Linked DNA regions of Oryza sativa Japonica Group. Each later gene encodes a partner of the first gene's protein in a complex. Links are inferred from orthologs where the notes say so. Each region holds a gene or a part of one and is shown in the gene's direction. Other genes may lie near its edges.

Region 1 (4,953 bases):
GTACTGTTAGACTTGCTCTAATGCGGTGACCCAACAATCGTGTAGCAGGGGCATCGATCGGCATCAGCATCCGTACGAGTTTGCAATCAAGTCATCAACACGCCTGGTTCTCCGTCAGCGTCAACGGACGTCTTCTGCTCTTCATGACGAACAGTTCTTTCCGGTATACGATGTGCGTACATCAGCTGCAATTTGGCACGGCTCTGGGTTGCGAAAGCAAAGCTTCGCGCTTTTGTAGTAGGGCCGATTGGTACACATGATTGCGCTGGATCATCACGGACCAGCCTGTCCGTTGTACGCTCGTAGTCGTATAATAAACTCAACAGATCACGGACGAACCGCTCGTGATAGTCGGACGTCCAGAGAGTGATCGATGATCATACATGGCAAAGAAAGTTTACTGATACAATCACGGAGTGTTTATGTTCGTCTTCTTCTCCACAATGCACAATCTCGACTCCGCCCTTATCATTGGGGTGAATCCACTAGAGATAGGCCGCCGCAAGTGAGATATCATATTGTAAGTTTTCTTTTAGATGATTGCAGGGAAACATCACGAAGTCATGGCTTTCACTCGCAATTTGTTCGTGTTATGCTTACCGATCAAGATTAGCTGATTACTCAATAAATACACACACCCAAGATTCAGCCTGACCAAGAATCACGGTACTACTTATTCACCGCCCTGCTACCGTTGTTGGCCTCCATGGCTACCCGCACGTGCCCTCCACGTCGACCGGCTCCGCCTCTTCCCCAGGTTCGTTGCAGCGAACACGCTGTAAATTTTGATATATTAGGTTATTCCTAACTCAAAACACTACACATAGTTTCCATAAACTCTACATCATTAAAAAACTGGTACTAGACACTACTATTCCAATACAAACATCACTATATATATTTAAATTTAATGCTATTTATCTCATATGATGTCTTGGATGTTGTGTAGAAACCAAGTCTCATATAAGACAAGGTTTCCTTCTCTTTTCTCATGTATTCACTTTCCACATCATTTTTCATCCTAGGTGACAGTTTTATTTAATGTTACGGATACCATCCTAGTCATTGGGTTGGAAATGACCTACTTATTATAGTTGGATTTGCGGCTTTGGAAACTTTCTAGCTTCACTACCGATCGGTTAGATGCGTAGTCGTCGGGATGTAGACGGGCTCATGGAATGACGGGGTGGAGCACTGGTTCGACCCTGGCACGGCATGCAAGAAATGCCACAGCTAGTGGAGGGTGGAGCGCTGGTCCGCCACCGGCGAGTGGCGTGCAAGAAACACAACAGTGGGATTGGGGGAGAAAGAACGAAGGGGAAAAGGGTAATCTCATGCACTCCTTAAATTTTCCAAAGCTGTCTCAAACGTCAAATAAAAAAAGATGGAGACAATATATTTTTTTATTCTAATATCACATAAGCGTCACGTGAGACAAAAACTAAATCAACACCATCACGTAGGCATTACGTCAGCAAACCTCCGATGATTTAAATTGTACCGGTTTTAGTAGTTGAGGGATCGAGATATCCGATATTACGATTTTGAAGACTGGTTCACTAGTTTTAAGGTAATCAAAGTGGACTTATTTCCTCCAAATAAAATCTGCCACATGGGCCTCCTTTAAGTGTCTAAAGGTTAGATGGGCCGAGCGGTTCTCCCTTCTGGGCCTAACCGGTAATTCTCTCTTTCTCTCTCTACAAATTGGGCCCGAAACGCTGAACCGTTAGCCCGCACGACAACTCTAGGTCAGCCACGAATCGTTTCACCTCACTTCCCACCACCTCTCGCCGCTTCGGGCATCGTCTCTCCCAGCGCCGGCCGGACCGATGGCGGCGGAGCCAGCAGCGGCCGAAGCCATGGATGTCGAGGCGCCGGCGCGACCAACCACCACCACCAGCACTGTATCCACCTCGAAGGGCAAGTCCCCCCACGACCTCCTCGCGGAGACCCGCGCCTCCGTGGAGGAGGTCGCCGCCCGGATCCTCGCCATCAAGAAGGACGACGCCCCCAGAACCGAGCTCCGGGAGCTCGTCGCCCAGATGTCCCTCCTCCTCATCACGCTTCGCCAGGTCCGTGCCGCTCCCGAATCCGCAACGCCTCTTCGCCGGGAACCCCTCGCGTTAGATCTGCTGTTTGCTCACTCGAGGGTTTGGATTTGCGCAGGCGAACAGGGAGATACTGATGGAGGAGGACAGGGTGAAGGCGGAGACGGAGGCGGCGAAGGCGCCCGTGGACTCCACGACGCTGCAGCTGCACAACCTTCTGTACGAGAAGAACCACTACGTGAAGGCCATTAGGGCGTGCCTCGACTTCCAGACCAAGTACCCGGGCATAGAGCTCGTGCCGACGGAGGAGTTCCACCGCGCCGCGCCGGCGGACATCCGCGATAAGACGCTCGCTGCTGACGCGTCCCACGACCTCATGCTCAAGCGCCTCAATTTCGAGCTAGTCCAGGTTGTGTACCGTGATCAGTTGATTCAGTTCCTACACAAATAGGAGATTTACTTGTCATGGGATAAATTCTTGTGCTTTGTTCATTGTTCGTCTAAATGATTAAAGCATCATAGAGAGTGTACAGGATTGTATGAGCATTTAGATTGGGGGTTTGTTCTGAAGGATCAGGGTAATAATCGAAAGAAAGAATCACATCGTAGCTGGGTTGACCTGCTAGTAAATTTAACGTAAATATTTAGCTTGGCTTGCAGGATTGGTTCTCCAAAAATTCAAATGTATATATAGAAAATGTTTTATAAATTCACCGTTATTTTTGTAGTTTAGAGTGCTCATATATCAAACTGTTCTTAAGTAGAACGCTTTGTTGTTATGGAAACTCTTTTTATGTATATTGATTTTAGTCAGTTGCATAATTCTTCTTAAATCTGATAATTCTTTGTGTGACTAGTGATCAAGGTTTGTAGTATGTTTTTGGATATGATTTGATCTGCTTAATTTGTTTATCACCTCTAGTTGTTTGAATATGTGTTTGCTTGCTAGGACAAAAGTCCCTTACTCCCTTTGTGCTAGTGTGGTCTTGATTTGTTTGGGTCCCAATATTTGTTCTGATATCTAAAGTAAGTTTGAAATCTGAAACAGCGGAAAGAGCTATGCAAGCTACATGAGAAATTGGAGCAGCGGAAGAGCAGTTTGTTGGACACAATTGCAAATCAGAAAAAGTTCCTTTCGAGCCTCCCAACCCATTTGAAATCACTGAAGAAAGCATCATTGCCAGTGCAGCAGCAGCTGGGGATGCAACATACCAAGAAACTAAAGCAGCATCATGCAGCTGAACTGCTTCCAACTCCTCTATATATAGTTTACACGCAGTTTTTAGGACAGAAAGAAGCATTCGGAGAGAATATTGAAGTGGAGATCACTGGAAGCACAAAGGATGCTCAGATGTTTGCTCAACAGCAAGCTAAGCAGGAAAATGGTTGGTTCATATAATCATATCTCATTGGAATATAGTTTATTTGATTTCCTATTACAGAAGTGCAATACTCGCAATAATTAATGACATTTATTCTATCTCTTCTCATGTACCGTATGATATGTAAGGGATCCTTTTTACTACTTTTAGAAAAGCAATGTAGCGTAGCCACATATTAAATGACCAGATGCAATTTCCTAGTAGATACTTGTGTCTAGCATAAACAGTTCGTTCTCATATAGCAGTATAGAAGCCCCGGTCTTTTATGGAAGCTGTTATATTTTAGTTCCTCATTACAAATTGAAGCTGCATGTAAATAATGCATGCTTGCTTCAATACTTGTATAATGGTTAGAATCAGATTGCTAATGGTTCTCTTCCACTTGTTATAATCTGTAAAGGTGGTAGACTAGGAAATATTTCTGATAAAGCGTGTCTTTTGTATCTGCAATAGCTGGCACTTTGTCAAATGGTGATAATAGAGTGGATGACGATGCAATTGATGATGAAGAAGATGCTCAAAGAAGAAGGTCAAGGTCAAGAAAAAGTGTTGTGAAGGAAGCTAGTAATTCAGTAGTGGCATATCAACTTCATCCCCTTAAAGTTATTCTCCATGTATACGACACTGAAGAGTCTGGAGCAAAGCGTCGTAAGCTCATGGTCCTGAGATTCGACTACTTGGCAAAGTTGAACGTTGTTTGTGTTGGAATTGAAGATTCAAAGGGGCTGGACCATGATATCCTATGCAACTTATTTCCAGATGACACTGGTTTAGAGTTGCCTCATCAGGTTGGAATCAGCTGATTTTGACTATTGCTAGCTGAATGCCCTTGCATTTTAATGGAATTAAAAGAAAAAAAATCATATCATTACCATTTCAAATATTAATCCAAGAATTCATATTGCTGTTGGAATTTGATATCTTCCCCTTAAATACTTTGTATAAAATTCTCTTATTATTGTTTTGATACCTAACACAGTATACCTACTTGTTCATATCACTATTTGATGGTCCCACATGTCAGGAGATATCATAGTGGTAGGTTAAGGCAGATTCACCATTCACCACCACCACTTGAGTTTTTTTAAAGGAATATATATACAAATCATTCTGTGACAATCTCTAGTTGATAGGTCATTTTGGTTTCCTTATATTTGTGGCCATAGGCAGCAGTGAGCTATCATGGCTTTATCTCATGTTGGTAGCCAAATGTTTTTGGTTAGTTCTCTGTTATATTATCTTAAAGAGAGTCGTTTTATCAATTTTATGCAGATGGCTAAACTTTATGCTGGGGAGGTTCCGAACTTCAGTGAAAAGGATTCAAGGCCATACAAGTGGGCACAACATCTAGCTGGTATAGATTTCTTGCCAGAAGTGCCTCTATCTGTTGGTGATGATTCTAACAGAGCATCGAGAAGTGCGGACTTGTCATCTGGGCTTGCTTTATACCGTCAGCAGAATCGTGCACAGACTATTTTGCAGAGAATCCGCTCACGGAAGGTTGCACAGATGGCTCTTACGTG
Region 2 (3,136 bases), on another chromosome or scaffold:
CAACTGTTCTCGTAAAAGGATAGAACTCCCTAATGTAAGCCTTTTTTTTTCTCAGGAATTTCTGTTGATTTCAACTTCTACAATACCCTATGGAGTCTGCAGGTGGCTGCTTTGTACCCTGTCATTCTGTGGGATTCAAAAATCATAATTGATTCCTGACACGCTTCTTAACTTTTAAACATTATATTGTTTCTCATGCTCATTTGTCTTTTTATTTATGTTCCAGGAGCATTTTAGTAACCCTGCTTTAACTGCTGCAAATCTGACAAGATGGCAAAAGTTTGTGTCCAATTTAACGGTACATCCTTTTGCGCATTTTTACAATTACATGAACCTTTTTCTTTCCCAATGCAAAATGTTAATTCTGAACTTCTCGTTGATGTTTACTGTTAATGAAAGTGCAGGTTGTGCTAAGCACATTTGAAGCTCAGCCTCTCAGTGACGATGATGGAAAACTTAACAATCTTGACCAAGAGGAAGATGCTGCTTTCAATATTAAGTACCTGACAAGTAGTAAATTGATGGGTTTGGAGGTAAGAACTTTTTGATCAGCTGATACTAACTTTTTATTATTGTTCACTGTTCATAGACTCATATGGCAATTGCTTCTTTGCAGTTGAAGGACCCAAGTTTTCGACGCCACATCCTTGTCCAGTGCCTCATATTCTTCGACTTTCTCAAGGCACCTGGAAAGACTGACAAAGAAGGTCCAACTGGGAGCATGGTTAGTCCACTAAATGACTTCTCTGATTGTTTTCCATGGACAGTTGAACTTAGACTTGAGCATCTGAAATTGTGCTGTTACCAAATTTTTAGTATTCACCTATTACTACATGATTGCTCTTGAGTTTGTGATAGTCACAACAGCAAATGTGGCAAAGCTAGCATTAGTTCTCATGAAACCATCAGCTCCTTTTTCTGTGCATGCTATGTGAGATCGTAAGTAGTCTGTGATAGCTATTCCCATTTTAGTTGAACCGATTATTATCACTTATTAGCATACTTCTCACAGCGTGTGCTACTGGGCATGTAAGTATTAACAAACACTGATTGCACAAATTGTCCAAACCGTATGAAGTTGCTTGGCAGTGCTAGTTTTTAGTATAACAGTGCCAACTAATACCAACTGCCTGCCTGATACAACTGGGTTATAGTGGCTAGTACAGACAATGAATCAGGATTAAGGAAATGCCACTCTGTACTCTGTATTAACTTTATGCTCTCTACAATCAGAAAGAGGAAATCGATTCTTGTGAAGAGCGTGTTAAGAAACTTCTGGAGATAATTCCACCAAAAGGGAAGGACTTCCTACAAAGCATCGAGCATATTCTTGAGCGGGAGAAAAATTGGGTATCCTCTTAGCTGCATGTAAGCAATATTTTATCTTAACATAGTAATTCTCACAACCAATGATTCTGTTCCTGCTGGCTCAACTTGAAGGTATGGTGGAAACGAGATGGGTGTCTAGCGTTTGAAAAACAACCTTTTGAAAAGAAACCAGGCCAAGCTGGAGTCAGAAAACGGTATGCTACTTCCTTTCTTCTGGCACTGAATTTGCCATTAGTCTATTATTGGTTCTGCTGTTGATGTGCTAGCCTATCATAATGTGTAACAGTTACAATAGATTTGAAATGATTTTAGTGCTAACTAAAAGAACAGCAGCTATCAACTGTGATATTGTCTTATTAAATACATCCCGCAAAGCATACTGTTTATAATTTTGATGGTACTGGGAGCACCATATCCTAAACATTGTGTCACTGGGAGCATTAACTTCAAATACACTTTATCTGAATTACCATGGAGCAGACAAATTAGTTATTTTATAATTTTGTGCTGCCAGTTTTTTTAATGTTCGCCAGAAGCAAGAATCATGAATTTCACCTGTTTCACATCAACATTCTTATATAGTGTCAACTTACAATGTTATGGATTTAGATGTGTTGTTATATGTATGAAGTTCACAATTTGTATTCATTTGTGCTAATGCAACTAGTTTCATATTTTTCATGAGTGAAGAGTGTAAGAATGGTCTTTGATATCGATTGCCTCGTTGAGTAGTTGTTTGTGGCATAGGTTTATTTAGAGAAAAGGTAAAAAAACAAATTAGTAGGAAATATAGCATAGATTCTTGGAGTTAACAAGCCAGTATTCTACTTCACATCCTCATGTCGATTTGTAATATGAATTCACACAAGAAAGTCCATGTCCAAATGCAATCTAATTCTTTGATATTTTGCTTTCCTTCCTTGTAGTAAGCCAAGGTGGAGATTGGGAAACAAAGAACTTGCCCAACTGTGGAAATGGGCTGAACAAAACCCTGTATGTTCTACCAAGCATCCCATTACTATTATGTTTGACTTGTTACTAATAGATTTGCATAATCCAGTTTAAAAGGGTTCCATCCGTTGAGTTCCCTATCTGTGCCTTTCTGAGTCATTTTCTATCCTTTTGTCATGCAACACTCTACTATTTGAAGGCATACATCTTCCATTAATCGGCCTTTCTCATCACTTTTTATCATTTTGTGATGCAACTTGTCCAACATTTAAATTCATCATTTTTTTAGCATTTATTTTTTTGCATCTGACTTCTAATTTCTCCGTGAGCTGCAGAATGCTCTGACTGATTCTGAACGTATTTGCATGCCATCAGTAACAGAATATTGGAAACCACTTGCAGAAGATGTAAGTGTTTCAATTTATATAGTCATTTTTATCCGTCCTTTTTGCTTTGAGCAAACCAATTTATTAGTGCAATCCTCTAATTATGTGTAACTTACAGATGGATCCATCTGCTGGTATTGAGGATGAATATCACCACAAGAATAATCGTGTGAGTATAGATCTCAGCAACACTATTTCCTGTTGAGATGATTATACTAAAATTTGGTTCTGTGATGACTGTACCAGAACCCAATTAATAAACAGGGTATAGCATAGGCTATTTACATTTAGGATCTGGTTTAAATAGGAAGATATATCACCTCTCGGGGAGCTAAAATACAATTATTCTTCTAAGCGGGTACTGCTAAGACTAATGCTAAAAAGACTGGGTCTATTACCATGTTACAAATGTCATCCAACCTCCCAATTTTTCAGTAGGAGTGGTATTTGTTAGCCTTTATTTGTTTGCT
Region 3 (5,040 bases), on another chromosome or scaffold:
TTCTTTTATGCATTGATTAACCTTATCTTCCTGTCTAATGATTATGATACACACCATTACAAAATTGTGTAGACCTGCATAAGGACTCAAAGGATGAAAGCAAGGTGTCAATGAACAAAATAGAGACCCACAAGAATGAAACTCATGGTACAAGCGATGATATAAATGAGAATACACCAGTTGAGAGAGTTAAAGGTCCAAATGTGTTTGAGCGTGCCAAGGAAGAGATTGAAGCTATTGTTGAAGCCTTCCACCCAAAGAAGGGATCTGACAAGTGAAGATTGAGATGTTCTGTTGCCTCTGTCTGCACTTGATGTGAAAACATTGACATGAGTTATTAATAGATCCATGGATGAGTTGTGAGATATCCATCGGCTGGTCTTATTATTGCCAAACTATGGAGTTGTAACTGTTGAATGGTTCATTGTACCACTGATATATATATGAGCAGAGTGTGTATCATGTGTGACATGAAAGTATTACTGTTCTTCAGTGTTTGATTTTAGTGTATGTTGAACTTAGTCCTTTGCATGATATGGTATTTTACTTGCTACCATACATGCAAAAATCTTTTGAGGTGCATAAATAAAGAGAGAGTCAATTGCTGTACAATTTTATAACCTTATGCTAAGCCTGTGGTTTGGGTTCAACATGCTTCACAAAATAACAGCATTTCCTTAGTGAAACAAGACAGAAACGCGAGATATGAACGATATGATACCTCAAACCCCATGTTCTTTGAAAAATAAAATTTTGAGTTAAATGTTGGTGTTGCTACACCTAGTAGTATAGAGTCTTGAAAAAAATTCCTCTCTTTTGATTTGTGTGGTTTCAAACGCTTCATCTAATTGATCATTCCTGTTATTTTCCTATCCATAAGATTTGAGGGAACTATTTCGAAGGATCCTTTCTCAAGACTCTAAACGGTGTGATTTTCTTAAAACTTTTTGTATAAATTTCTTAGAATACTGTTCTAATATTTTTTTTTAACTTTATACTCCATCCGTATTTTAATGTATGACGCCGTTGAATTTTTGACAAACGTTTGACCTATCGTCTTATTCAAAAAATTTATGTAATTATCATTTATTTTATTGTGACTTGATTTATCATCAAATGTTCTTTAAGCATGATATAAGTATTTTTATATTCGTATAAAAAATTTGAATAAGATGAATGGTCAAACGTTGGTTAAAAAGTCAACGGCGTCATACATTAAAATACGGAGGGAGTAACATTTATTTAATTTGTTTGTTCCCTCGAATAATTATCGCAACATTACGCGAAGCAACAACTCAAATAGATATTTCATATTATTTTATCAATGAATAAGATCTCGTCGTTGGCTTCTCATCACAAAAAAAATAAATATAAATTTATTAGAATATTGTTTTAACCTATTTTTTAAAACTTTATAACAGTTATTTTATTTGTCTGTACCCTCAAATAATTATTACAATACTGTACAAAAACAAATCAAATAGGGATTTCATATTATATTTTTTAATAATGAATAGATCTGGCCGTTGGTTTCTGATCTAAAGGCCCAGCCCAACCAGCCGCTGTCTCTTCCCCCCACTCCTCGACTCGCTCTCGCTTCCGAAGCAGCGGCGGCGGCGGCGGCGAGGCGAGATGGCGGCGGCGGCGTTGGCGGGGATGGACGCGCGGGGGTGGGACGAGGCGGCGTACAGGCGGGGCATCCTGCGGGAGCGGGACCTCTCCTGCCGCACCCTCTTCCGCGCCGTCTTCTTCGACCACCACGACGACGACCCCGACGTCCTCCTCGCCGCCGCCTCCAGCGACGGCTCCCTCGCCTCCTTCTCCCTCTCCTCCTGCATCTCCTCCTCCTCCTCCCATCCCACCCCACAGGTTCGTTCGTTCCCCACACCCGCTCCATGTGCCGCGTCCTCGTGCGCAGCTAAGGTGTTCGATCTTTTGTTTTGATTTGATTGGATTCAGACCCACCCGGATGCCGCGGTCTCTCTGGTTGATCCCGTCTGCATCGTCCAAGCGCACAGTGGCCCGGCCTACGACGTCAGGTTCTACCCGGATTCGCAGCAGCCGCTGCTCTTCAGGTGAATTGCTGTGCTGCTGCTCGTCTTCTCGGTGGCCGTTTTTGTTCAGGTGACATGGCATGACATTTGGCGACGTGATCCGTTGGTTGTGGCAGCGGCGGGGATGACGGGCGCCTTCGGGGATGGAGATGGCACGAGATGCAGAGCTGCCTTGTGCCGCTATCTCTGCAAGGTGCTGCAAAAGAACCCTCACTTCTTACTAGGATTGACTTGGTTAATTAGTTTGGTGTGTGCTTTACCTAGAAGTTCTACCTGTACTTGCTTGCGCACACCCCACAAAGAAAAGGCTAAATTTTTAACAAAGATGTAAAACATTTTGCAAGTCCCATTTCCTTTTCTAGTGCTCTAGTGCATGTTTTTTTTGTGGGGCTAATGCATGTTGTTTAATAGGTTACTTTGTCATTGCTTTTCTTTCCAGGGGATCATTTGGAGCCAGTACTTGATTTGGTGAACCCTCAGCATGAGTAAGTATTCTGTGAAAAAGGACATACATCTGATAATCATTTGACATATCGTTTATTCTAGAGAAATATGCACTTGCACTCTCATCCTCCATCTTTTCAGAGCTTTTGTTTTCGATTTTGTAGGGGTCCTTGGGGTGCTCGCTCTCCAATACCTGAAAACAACGCCATTGCGATTAACAAACAGGTCAACACCAGAAAGTCTGCATTTTCACTTCATCCAAAGAAGCAAAATAATCTCTTGTGTGCATTTTTGTTCATCGTGTATATTATATAGAAATGATGCATATTGTTACTTGCTTAAAAAAAGATATCTTATTCAGTTATTCTTTCTCATCATTCTTCTTCGCAACAGGAAGGATCTGTTTATGCAGCGGCCGGGGATGCATGTGCTTATTGCTGGGATGTGGTATGTATTTTCTTGAGGTAAATGCAATATATAGAAGTCCTGAGCTACATGGAAGGAACTACAGATTTCTTATGATTCATGTGGCACAGGCTTCCATAATTTTCTATTTTCTGTGTGCCTGCTTGAGAAAATATCTGATAGTAGGTTTTACAATGTCTTGTTCTTTCAGGAGAGTGGTAAATGTAAAATGACCTTCAAGGGACATACTGACTATTTGCACAGCATTGCAGTCCGCGAAGCGAACCGCCAGGTTGGTTTGTTATTATTGTACTGATGTAGTCCAATACCATTTTCCCATAGATGTCTTGCCTTCATTTTGTAGTAACTTTTAGTTAATAGAGCCTTTCCTTTTTCAGGTAGTTACAGGATCAGAGGATGGCACAGCCCGTATCTGGGGTGAGCAGTGCTTTTGATAGGATAATTTTGTCTTGTACTTGAAGTGTGCCTTCTCATGTTCATCCTGTTCTAACTGGTCATTTTGTATATCTGCTCGTTGATTCAAGCAAAGAAAAAGCACCAACTAGCTATTTGTCTTTTTGTACTCTTTAATTCACATCTGGTGATCTGGTCACAGGTCACATCATATTCACAAAATTTATCCTCTCTCTTATGAGTTTACCTTCAGACAGGTTTAGAAAGATTTGGCACTACATGGAAATCCATAAAAAGGCATTCTCTTATTTCTGCTCTTTGTGCACTGCAGATTGCAGAAGTGGAAAGTGCACTCAGGTTATACGTCCGGTGAAAAACAAGATTTTTGAGGGGTCATGGGTCAGTTGTGTTGCCATTGATGCAAGTGAAAGCTGGCTGGTAGGATGCACTTCAAGCTGATATAACAATGTGTTATGCATCATGTATTTTACAGTTATTATTATCTTGGTCCTATTTTTCCCAGGCTTGTGGTACTTCTAGTGGTATATCAGTTTGGAGCCTTCTTTCAAATGAGTGCATCTTTAATGTGGATTGCCATGCTCCTGTTCAAGATTTGCTGTTTGACAGAAACCAAGTAAGTCTATCTATTCGTCATGTTCAAGCTAGAGTTTAGCAAACCAGTAAAATTGCCCATGGTTAGAAATGGCTCATCTTGTATTTCAAAGATGGGCTGGCAAAAAATTTAGGACGGATCATTCCATTCTTTAGTCTTTGTGAGTTTAACAAATGCTATACCTGTAGTAAATTAGTGTTCCCCTAGTCAATTATTTCCATTAACAAGTCATATGATAGTTCCACAAGTGCATGATTTATCTATTTAACCAATGCCCTTTCTAAATTTTTTTATGCATAATTGTTTGCCAAATGAAAGTTTGCATAATTGTGTGGATATGAAATTATTATCAGATAATCTCTCAGATATGCACAGAAAATGCAATAAATTATTTCCTGATGATTTATGACATGGTTGCCAAAATTTGAAGCTTTGTGATGTTATTGTTGGAGAGAAACAGAATAAAATCAAAAGCTTTTGCTTCCAAACAAATATAAGAGTGACTCTTCAGCCAACTAGTTATTATTCCTGCAAGGAAAGCTTTTTATTATTGTCTGCTCACATCTATTAGAGATTTACCAAAGCAATGTTGAGTCTGGCGATAGACAATAGAGCAGCACGAAGGATGCATTGTTTCCCAACTCTTGTGGTTTAGGAATTATCAACTGTTTGTTTTCTTATACTCCATTTTCACCATTCAGATCTTAGCAGTCGGTGCTGAACCTCTGCTCTCTCGTTTCTCTATCAATGGGACTCTTCTTTCACAAATCAAGTGTGCTCCTCACTCAGCATTTTCTGTCTCCATACATTCTTCAGGGGTATGTCTGTCTGTCTCTTGATTCTCATTTTGAAATGACTTGGGTATCTGTTTCACCCTACTTCTGGAGTCTGGCCGATTTGTCCTGAGTTTACTACCTTTGTTGTGCAGATGGCAGCTGTTGCTGGATATGGAGGCCTTGTGGATGTAATATCACAATTTGGGAGTCATTTGTGCACTTTTGGCTGCCGGAGCCTGGATAAGTAAGATCTATTGGAACAATTAGCTAAGCACTCTTAATAGTGTAAAGAACTGGAAAAACACTGCCAAGATCTAATTAAGTACTACTACTA
Region 4 (4,442 bases), on another chromosome or scaffold:
TTTCTGTGATGATTTACTGAAGTTCCGTTGTTTTTAACCTTCTTATCATATTTGCTTCTGGATTGTTCAGGTAACCCTCCTTTGTCAAATTGGTTCAGATTTGGCTTGTCAAAATTCTTCTTCAGTTACTATGAGCATTATAAAGGTGTGCTCTAGAATATTCCTTTCTTCCTCCTGTACTGTTATTTAAGCATTTGAGCATCTTTGTGATATAACATTATGTTTTTTATGGCAGTCATTGATTGGGCATTTTGACCTGGACCCAAATCGTGTGTTTGATATTGTGAGTTTTGATTTGCTGTCCACTTTTTTGTTATGCATTGTACTGTGTGAAAGCGTGTTACCGAAAGCATGTAGTGATGTTATTCTTGTATTCTGCTAGGTTCTGGAATGTTTTGAGCTCTATCCGGATAATACCATCTTTTGTCAGCTTATACCTCTTTTCCCTAAGGTATTCCTTTATCATACTTCATAGAGTATACTTCATACTTCATATGGTTATATTCCTTTTAATATAATAATGTAAACCTCCTCTAAAGATTATTAGCATACTTCATACAATATTTCAGCCTATTTTACTACTTCCTTTTATTGCAGTCCCATGCTGCTCAAATATTGGGGTTCAAGTTCCAATATTACCAACGATTGGATGTCAATAGCACTGTTCCACCTGGGCTTTTCCGGATAGCAGCTTTGTTGGTCAAATCTGGTTTTATTGACCTTGATAGCCTGTAAGTTTACTAAATCTCCTTGACTTCCTGATGGTTACAGTGATGTTAGACATCACCCAAAACAAAATCTGCAATTTGTATTCTTTATAAAAATATCTACTATGCTTTAAGCACACTTTTTTTTTTTAAAAAAACACATACATCCTCTAATAAGGTTTATGTCCATGTAAATTAATGTATGCATGTAATTAATGCCTTCGTATTGGGATTTACTCTCCAACTTTGGACTCTACTTTTTCTTCAGTGTTAACTCTTTACATTGGCTCCTGTTCTTTAATAACAAGAATTTTTTTAATTTCCTCTGATTCTGTGTGGCACTCTACCATTATCGATTTTGCTCAAAATGTATTAGTACAGCTACTGGTGTGTTAAAGGTTACACTGATTATGGTTTCAAGTTATCAATTTATCATTATGATTGCTCATAATGTATTAGTGCGGCTACTGGTGCAATCATGGTTTCTAGTTATGGATTGTTTTTACGTTCCTGATTCCTACTACACTATATGAGCATGACTTTTTTTTGCCACAATATATCTACTTGGGAATGGCCTTTCAACTCCAACTCTCATGAGTCATGACTTATATCTGAATTGTATTGCAGCTATGCTCATTTACTTCCAAATGATGATGAGGCATTTGAGCATTTTGACTCCTTCGTCACGAGGAAAATCGATGAGGTTAATATTCATTTTGTCCTCCTGAAGTTCATGTTTTTGGAAATATTTGCTATATCCAGGCATTGTGAAAGAGAGTTGTATGTATGCCATCTCATTACAGATTTAAACTTGAAATGATAAAAGTACAAATTCAATTGATAGTGCGACACCAAGCCCCCCCTCCCCTTCTTTTTATTTTGCAATTTTGCTATGTAACAAAATGAAATCCCACTGTTTTAAAAGAGGAAGAAAGACAATGTTGTAAATCATGATTCTGTATATGCAGGAAATAACACCATGATAATGCATAACCTTTGGGATTAGGATAAAAAAACGATCTGGGGATATAGGGATTAGAGGATATATGCAAAATGAATGTGTGGGGAATAAAATCGAAAGTAACATTTTGGATTGACAGATATGTAGATGTTGGCTTTATTGTGGTGTATGGGTATTTATCTTTAAATATAGGTACCTTCTGTTAACAAGATGTAACCCTTACGTAGCAAAACAACTTTGGTTGTGGAATGGCGGAACTTTATTTTTTTGTAGCTGAAAAATTTCAAGTTGAGCATGCAAATTTGTTCATACATTCCGGTGAAGTCATTTCAGAATCTATCAGGTTAAATGGTTCTGTAATTGAAAATAATCAGGATTTGTTTGTTTGTACTTCAGCACTTTAATGGTTGTGGTGTATTTTGCAATTTCTGGAACTTAGCCCTCTCTTTCTTAATTCCAGGCTAGTAATATAGGCAAAATAAATCTTGCTGCCACTGGGAAGGACCTTATGGATGACGAGAAGCAAGAAATAACTATTGATTTGTACACAGCATTGGAGATGGAAAATGATATAATTGATGAGCGAGCCCCTGAGATTGAAAAGAACCAGAAACTTGGACTTCTTCTTGGTTTCCTGTCAGTTCATGATTGGTAATGTTCATGTGTTCCATCAATTTATTTTGTCTGCTTGCTATTTGGTTAAATATATAATTGCATTTAGCAGTTAATACATCTATCCTTTTTTGTACTTATTATACTTTTGGTAACTGAATTCTACCATTGTTTGGCAGGGATCATGCACAACTCCTCTTTGAGCGTCTTGCACGCCTAAATCCTGTTGAGCATGTTGAAATTTGTGATAGTTTATTTAGGTTTGTCAACTTTCTCTGCATATGCAAGCATCCTCAACATTACTTGTAGTTCTCTGCAAACAGGGCATATGATGGTGCTTGATACATATGCCCTTGTATTACAACACATTCCCTGGTTAATATTATTCAATTTTGTTTTTTTGTTCATGCAGACTTATTGAAAGGAGTATTTCTTCAGTCTATGATATAATTTTCCAAACACATTATAAGATGCCTCGTAACCCTGTTTATATGATGGACACATCACCTTCCTCTTCACAAAGTTTTTCGGTTGATCCGCCGAAAGAGTTTTTCCAAATGCTTTCTGCTTGTGGACCATACCTTCATCGTAACACACAATTATTTCAGAAGGTAGTGTTGTTTATTTTCTCTGCTAATATTCTCATAGCAGTTCATGCTTGAACATGACATGCTTCCGGCTTCTGTTTTTGACTGGAGATTTTCTCTAATACCCCTATCACATGTATTATTTGTCTTGTGTTGTTAAAATTTGTGTAAACTAGTTATCATGAGTTCTTTTATCCAATCAATGGTTTTATGGTTGCCATGAGGCTTGTGACCAGATTTTTGTTTTCTGGCTTGCATTGTTGTAATAATTCAATAAGTAAAAAACACCGTTCTTGTTGCTTAACTACTACAGATAATTTATAATGTCTTGTAGCTTATAGTGCAAATGGGTTCTATTGACAAGTTGTTGCATATTCAAACGAACTATCCTATTATTAAATGTTTCCATTATGCAGTATCACCTGGAGTATCTATTAACAAGTTGTTGCATGTTTTACCTAATGTAGCATTCTCCATGTTAACTACAGGTTTGCAGAGTACTTAAAGCGTACCATCTGTCAGCAAAAGAGTCAATCCGTACAGCAGGTGTAATGTCTCCAGACTCGCGAATTGAAGAAGCACTTGGATCGTGCTTGCTACCATCATTGCAGCTTATACCTGCAAATCCTGCTGTTGATATGGAGATATGGGGAGTTCTTTCTCTTCTTCCTTATGAGGTTCGTAGTATTGTTCATAGTTTGTTTATTTGCCCAATTCATTTGTAAACAATGTTTTACAATTGTGCCACTCATTTTTAGACCCGTTATCGCTTATATGGTGAATGGGAGAAGGATACCGAACAAAACCCAATTGTCCTTGCTGCAAGGCAAACTGCAAAGGTTGATTATTTATTCCATGACTGAGTTTTCTTATGTTTCCCCTATAATTTTATCTTCAGCTGTCAATTAACTGTCCTTATTTTTTTGATTAGTTGGATACCAGAAGGCTCTTAAAGCGGCTTGCTAAGGAAAATCTGAAGCAACTTGGCCGCATGGTGGCTAAACTTGCCCATGCAAATCCAATGACAGTACTTCGGACAATTATCCAACAGGTATCTTGAATGAACAAGTGCATATAGTTGCTACTCCCTCCATTTCATATTATAAGTAGCTTTGTCTTTTTTTCTGGTCAAACTTAAAGTAGTGAAACAAAACATATTACCAAAATATATTCAATGTTAGGTTTAATGAAACTGATTTGGTGTTTTAGATGTTGCTAAATTTTTCTATAAACTTGGTCAAACTTAAAAAAGTTTAACTAGGAAAAAGTCAAAGTGACTTATAATATGAATCGGGGGGAGTACTTGGGATAAAGTTATTCAAAATATGTATATAACATTGCAGTTAAACACAATGTTTTTCTTTGGAAACATGAGATGTAACTACTTCCATTAGACCGGCGACTGTTGTTATTTACTTATTTTAGTAAATGATTTATTCCTCCTTGTTCCTTTTTTACTTCTCTGGTTTGGAGCTAGCTGATCCATGCCACATCTTCTTACAGCTTAATCCTAACTGCATTTATCCCCACAATTTTTTTTACACCAACAACCTGTGATTAGCAAATGCAAACTTC
Region 5 (5,123 bases), on another chromosome or scaffold:
GCCCATGAGTTAGAAATAGCTTGGAGAATTCCTTCGATTAGATATTTGAAGATCCTACACTTAAGGTTGATCAGAAGATTCGGCGGCAAGCGCTCAAATATTATATCGCCGAAAAATAGATGGAGTATTACTTAGATAATGATCAGTTTAAAGTTGCTAGGAGAGTAGTACATGAAGGGATTTGTGAAATTCATCAATCGGCCCGTAAGATAAATTGGTTGCTTAGGAGAGTGTGGTTTCATTGGCCGAAAATAATTGATGATTGTTTCAAATGTTATAGAGGGAGTGAAGCTTGTTAACGGATCGGCAATGTTCAATTAGCGCCTACCGCTGTGTTGAATCCTATCATTAAAGTATGGCCGTTCTGAGGTTGAGCTTTGGATTTCATTGGTCAAATTTATCCTTCGTCATCAAAAGGGCGTTGGTTCGTGCTAGTTGCAATGGATTACTTCACTAAGTGGGCCGAAGCCGTGCCGCTCGAGAATATTACTTGTACGGAGTGAGAAGTTTTGCCGAATCTTATGCTATTAAGTTGATGAGTTCTTCTCTTTACTACGCTCAGGCTAATGGATAAGCCGAGTTGAGTAATAAAACATTGTTGAAATTGTCGTTTTGCCAGTTGGGGTAAATCTTGGCTCTCTTCGGTATTTCAAGCAAGACGACTTGTCGGTTGAAGATTACAAGACCTTGATGGGAAACAATTTTAAAGACGTCATCGACAAGCGTTTAAAGACTTTGAAGGAGATGAAGACACTTCAAGACGGTGTTTTCAGAGAGCAATTAATGGGAAATACTTGAAGAAATATTTCCCGAGCATTTGGCAAGATGCTTAGGAAGTCCTATGGGCGGTAATTGGATTATCACCCTGACATAACATGTTCTATGCTTTTAGGTTCACGTATGTTTACAAAAAAGGCAGGGGGGCATGTGTTTACACCCAAATTTGGCACCTATGGACGAAATAGAGGAAAATTGCCAAAGTTTGGAAAGTGACGGGTTTCCTTCACAGGGCCGGTTAGACCACAGGTGTGTGGGCGGTCTGACCGTCTAGTAGGGCCGGTCTGACCGCAGGTATGTGGGCGGTCAAACCGTCAGGGTCCGAGTCCGAGTTTGTTTTCGTCGGGTCTCGGGTTTCCTTGCCTGGGAAGGTAGGTTTCGTGTTTCCTTTGGTTTCTATCCCGAGTTGGATATGGAGAAGGGCCTGTAGAGGGTAAGACCAACCCCTATTTAAGGGACAAGGCCGGTTCATTGTAAAACCCCCGAATACAATTTACTTGAATCGTTCTTTTACCATGTTTTCTATTTTACCCTAGTTTTAATCCATCTTTGTCGGTTTGCGCCGTAAACCGTCCGCCGCCGCTGCGAGAGTGCGACACCTCTTTGTAGATTTGTCCTGAAAACCTTCCGTATTGCCTATGAGACAGGTTAGTTATCCTCATATCGATCTAAATCGGCTTAGAGGCTGATTTTTGATCTCTAAATCGGCTCCGCTAGCCGGTTTAGCTGTTTTTCTACAAAACCCATCTTGATTTGGCCGTTTGGCTAGATCGAGGTGGTTGGCGACTCCATATCACCGCAAGGCGTTTAGGTGCTGCGATCGTAATTGTCGACTTGTCACAAAAAGTTGCCAACAGCCGCAGCGGCTGTCCCCTCCAAAGAGGTGGTGGAGAGAGATGAGAAAAAAAAAGAGGGGAAAGATGAATCTAAGAAGACGAAGATGGATGGAAAATATTACTATAGTGGCATGGTTCTAATTTTATAAAATTTCAATGTCACAATTAAAAAAGACGAATTGTAATAACATTTATCGGTATATTTACAATGGCATGGATTCAATTAAACAAAAACCAAAGGATGTGTCCATGGCTCCATGGTAAGGATAACGCATGAACTTGTGGCATGAATAAACAAAAAAGTAGAAGGACGTTTCTGCGAAAACCCTCTCCTCTTCCCCGCCGACGCCGTCCCCGGCTCTCCCTCCTCCGTCTCGCGCCCGCCGCCGCCGCCACCGCCACCGCCGCCGCCGCCTTGCGCCTCGTGACGCGGTGAGTGGGGAATAGCAAAACCAGACCCGTGCCCCAGTCCGCGGGGACAATGGAGGGGAAAGAAGACGACAGACGGCGGGGCGGCGGTGGCGGAAGCTCGACGCCGGGGATGAACCTGAAGAACCTGGTGTCGAGGGAGTATTTCGGCCACAAGAAGAAGGTAACCTTTTCGATTCCCCCCTCACCAATCCTACGCGGGGATAAGTTTTTTTCTCATGAGGTCCTAAACCCTCAAAAGTCCTGCGAGGGGGAAGCCCTAAAATCCGGATGTTACAAGCAAAAATTAGGACGAAAATGCATCCATCTTTGGTTCACACGTACGGTTTTGTTTCTAATTCTAGAGCAGGATATAGTGATTGATTCCTCGCGTTCATGCCGTATATATGCTGATTCTTTTGCTCTAGGGCTAAGCCATGTTGAGATTGAATGAAGCTTTGGTTGGTTGCTTTCCTTCTGGGAGCTGGTGAATGAGCGCATTGTCAAATATGATTCCTGGTCATAATTACTCCTAATTTTTGAAGGAATTTGGTTTCACGAAAAGGGACTTCTTGTCTGACTTTGTAAAGTTGCTACTCCTCTGAGGGGAAGAATTCAAAGGGAAAAAAAAATCTTACTTGCAGAAAGAATCATAGTACAACGATATTTCTCTGTTTCTTTCTTGAATTCTGTTTCTTGTTTTTCTAAATAATCCTTCCACACATGGAGGTGCAGCATTTAACTGGTTCTGTCGCTTTTTGCCTTCTTTTTTATCTATCTTACATACATAATCAGCCTTAAATTTTGTATAATTCTGATCTTTTGTTTTACTGTTAGGTGCACTCTGTAGCATGGAACTGCCTAGGCATGAAGCTTGCTTCAGGCTCTATTGATCATACTGCACGTGTATGGAGTATCGATCCCCATGGCCATGTAAACATTCTCTCCTTTCCTGATTGCAAACAAAATAACCTTCATTGTTATTATGGAATTATTAGATAAACGCATTTATTGTCATTCACTATGAATAACTGTCACCCTTTTTTTATGAACATTTCTATAAATTTGAAAGATAAGCATGATGATTAATTGGAAATATCTCCCGCTGTATAATTTAAAATTATAGAAACTCAGACAGTAATCACACTTAAGCATACCATAGCCTGTGTCTCTGAGACATATGTTTGAGCTATTTAATGTGAAATTGTGAATGATTTCTTAGCTAGGGGTTCTTTTGGATCCCTCAGTTGTACTTATTTCTTCTTCTTAATGAAAGGAAGCGCAGCCCTCCTGCGGTTTTGAGGAAAATAAATTCTAAGCTAAATTATATTGTTTTGAGAACACTAAGACATTTTTGGTTGGAACGTAGGAGGGGAAAAAACCCCAGATGGTTTCTATTTCCCTGGAAGTACCAAGTCAGTACTGTGCTGATTAGGGTTTTTATATTGCACAGTCCAAGGTTAAAGACATTGAATTGAAAGGCCACACAGATTGTGTAGATCAGCTCTGCTGGGATCCGAAGCATCCTGATACAGTTGCTACAGCAGCTGCTGACAAGTCAATTCGCCTCTGGGATGCACGGAGTAAGTGGTTCCCTTCATCTTTGAAGGTTAAAGAACTAAGATATCCACAGTTGTGTTCAGCATTCTCAGCTTCTCTCTGAAATTGATGAATCCCTTTTTGTCACTTTGTTCAATCCCTATGTTCCATTTACAATGAACTTGTTGTTACCAGACAAGATGTCTTATTCTTTTGTGTAGTGACTCTACCTGAAAGTTAGTTTCAGAATTTTTTTAGTTGTACTTCGATTTTTTTCATAGGATTGTACATCATACTTTTGATTCTCTATTTATAACTCTACAAGATTTGGGCCTGCAGTTTGCCTTTTAAAATTATATTATTTATTTGACCCGCTATTTCTCAAACTGTTTGACGTGTTCTTTTCCAGGTGGAAAATGTCAAGTCGTCGAACTTAGTGGAGAAAACATCAATATCACTTATAAACATGGTGGTACTCAAATAGCTGTTGGAAACAAGGTATGTATTGCCTAGGCTGTTATCCCTGTTAACTTCAAGAACGGTAGTCATTTATGACTAAGGAACTGGTTTTGATTTGCATATATCATGCCAGAAGAGGGTTACAATATTTTGAAAGGAATTTATAAAATTCTTTCCAAAGAGAAATGTGTAACTATAATCTGATTTATATTAGATTGAGTGATGAGTTATTTGGCAAATTAGCATCTAAATTGCAATGTTCATTCTTGTGTTTGACATGCTCTCTGTATAAGTATCAATACAACATAGCTCAGTATGGACACACTTGAATATATACATATTGATCCTAAATTAGATGGAATTATTTACTTTTTTTGCTATGCAAAGTTAGTAAAGTGTTATTGAGCATGGGGACTGGGGAGTGGTGTGTAAATTTTATAATAATTGTAGTAAACCTATTTTTATAAAGTTTACAAGTTAGTTCGCAAGGTCCCGCGTACACCAATGTGTTTACTTTGTGAGTTCTAGTTTTATAAAATTGTACAAGTGTAGTAACAGCTGTCACTATGATTTGCAGGAGGATGAGTTGACAATAGTGGATGTTCGGAAGCTAAAAGCCCTTCACAAATTTAAGTTTAATTATGAGGTACTTTCCACTTGAAGGTTTGAATTGTTGAAACATTCTTCTAGCAATTTTCTTCTTCCTTTTGGAATCTTTCGCTGCTCTGAATGAACATGCACATATAGTCATATACCTTTTGAGAAAAAGTAGAGTGGGCATAAGTCGGCAGCATGTGCATCTTTGTCTGGAACAGGAAAATTGCCTGCTGGTATTTGAATTAGTACTGACTACTGAGTGTGAATTACCTAACTATTCGATGTACTTTAATTTCATTTGCTGCATTACTTATGTTGCAGTTTTGTAAATTTTCTATTTCAACTAGCTAAATGCCCGTACACCTGCTACTGATAAAAATGAATCATATAGCTCCTCAGATCAGTTAACTTTTCTGAAGTAAATTATTGATTTGTTGTTCCTCAGATAAATGAGATTGCATGGAACAAAACTGGAGATTTATTCTTCATCACTACTGGACTTGGTAA

What was found.
Region 2: THO complex subunit 5A (region 1) and THO complex subunit 1 share a complex: the UniProt entries of both Arabidopsis thaliana proteins name them as parts of the THO complex. The link is inferred for Oryza sativa Japonica Group from reciprocal best matches to the Arabidopsis thaliana genes THO5 and THO1.
Region 3: THO complex subunit 5A (region 1) and THO complex subunit 6 share a complex: the UniProt entries of both Arabidopsis thaliana proteins name them as parts of the THO complex. The link is inferred for Oryza sativa Japonica Group from reciprocal best matches to the Arabidopsis thaliana genes THO5 and DWA1.
Region 4: THO complex subunit 5A (region 1) and THO complex subunit 2 share a complex: the UniProt entries of both Arabidopsis thaliana proteins name them as parts of the THO complex. The link is inferred for Oryza sativa Japonica Group from reciprocal best matches to the Arabidopsis thaliana genes THO5 and THO2.
Region 5: THO complex subunit 5A (region 1) and THO complex subunit 3 share a complex: the UniProt entries of both Arabidopsis thaliana proteins name them as parts of the THO complex. The link is inferred for Oryza sativa Japonica Group from reciprocal best matches to the Arabidopsis thaliana genes THO5 and TEX1.

The regions. Positions count from the first base shown.
Region 1 is NC_089036.1:32,788,902-32,793,854, forward strand, and holds the start of THO complex subunit 5A, read left to right. Parts: upstream 1-1,779; 5' UTR 1,780-1,829; coding exon 1,830-2,072; intron 2,073-2,166; coding exon 2,167-2,457; intron 2,458-3,096; coding exon 3,097-3,433; intron 3,434-3,883; coding exon 3,884-4,218; intron 4,219-4,702; coding exon 4,703-4,950; intron 4,951-4,953. UniProt on the Arabidopsis thaliana protein: Acts as a component of the THO subcomplex of the TREX complex which is thought to couple mRNA transcription, processing and nuclear export.
Region 2 is NC_089037.1:612,281-615,416, forward strand, and holds part of THO complex subunit 1, read left to right. Parts: intron 1-55; coding exon 56-102; intron 103-226; coding exon 227-298; intron 299-404; coding exon 405-533; intron 534-616; coding exon 617-724; intron 725-1,233; coding exon 1,234-1,350; intron 1,351-1,440; coding exon 1,441-1,523; intron 1,524-2,255; coding exon 2,256-2,322; intron 2,323-2,615; coding exon 2,616-2,687; intron 2,688-2,784; coding exon 2,785-2,835; intron 2,836-3,136. UniProt on the Arabidopsis thaliana protein: Acts as a component of the THO subcomplex of the TREX complex which is thought to couple mRNA transcription, processing and nuclear export. Contributes to the integrity of the endogenous trans-acting small interfering RNA (ta-siRNA) pathway.
Region 3 is NC_089043.1:16,265,964-16,271,003, reverse strand, and holds the start of THO complex subunit 6, read left to right. Parts: upstream 1-1,577; 5' UTR 1,578-1,632; coding exon 1,633-1,869; intron 1,870-1,959; coding exon 1,960-2,075; intron 2,076-2,170; coding exon 2,171-2,247; intron 2,248-2,493; coding exon 2,494-2,539; intron 2,540-2,662; coding exon 2,663-2,723; intron 2,724-2,891; coding exon 2,892-2,945; intron 2,946-3,114; coding exon 3,115-3,199; intron 3,200-3,301; coding exon of another isoform or gene 3,302-3,305; coding exon 3,306-3,341; intron 3,342-3,648; coding exon 3,649-3,755; intron 3,756-3,840; coding exon 3,841-3,951; intron 3,952-4,631; coding exon 4,632-4,748; intron 4,749-4,858; coding exon 4,859-4,954; 3' UTR 4,955-5,040. Other genes in the region: uncharacterized protein, read left to right, coding at 73-278. UniProt on the Arabidopsis thaliana protein: Acts as a component of the THO subcomplex of the TREX complex which is thought to couple mRNA transcription, processing and nuclear export.
Region 4 is NC_089035.1:40,603,670-40,608,111, reverse strand, and holds part of THO complex subunit 2, read left to right. Parts: intron 1-70; coding exon 71-145; intron 146-235; coding exon 236-283; intron 284-382; coding exon 383-451; intron 452-597; coding exon 598-731; intron 732-1,334; coding exon 1,335-1,410; intron 1,411-2,128; coding exon 2,129-2,319; intron 2,320-2,459; coding exon 2,460-2,540; intron 2,541-2,692; coding exon 2,693-2,891; intron 2,892-3,355; coding exon 3,356-3,544; intron 3,545-3,625; coding exon 3,626-3,706; intron 3,707-3,798; coding exon 3,799-3,918; intron 3,919-4,442. UniProt on the Arabidopsis thaliana protein: Acts as a component of the THO subcomplex of the TREX complex which is thought to couple mRNA transcription, processing and nuclear export.
Region 5 is NC_089043.1:11,600,497-11,605,619, forward strand, and holds the start of THO complex subunit 3, read left to right. Parts: upstream 1-1,917; 5' UTR 1,918-2,094; coding exon 2,095-2,205; intron 2,206-2,858; coding exon 2,859-2,954; intron 2,955-3,474; coding exon 3,475-3,604; intron 3,605-3,969; coding exon 3,970-4,058; intron 4,059-4,596; coding exon 4,597-4,665; intron 4,666-5,061; coding exon 5,062-5,119; intron 5,120-5,123. UniProt on the Arabidopsis thaliana protein: Acts as a component of the THO subcomplex of the TREX complex which is thought to couple mRNA transcription, processing and nuclear export. Contributes to the integrity of the endogenous trans-acting small interfering RNA (ta-siRNA) pathway.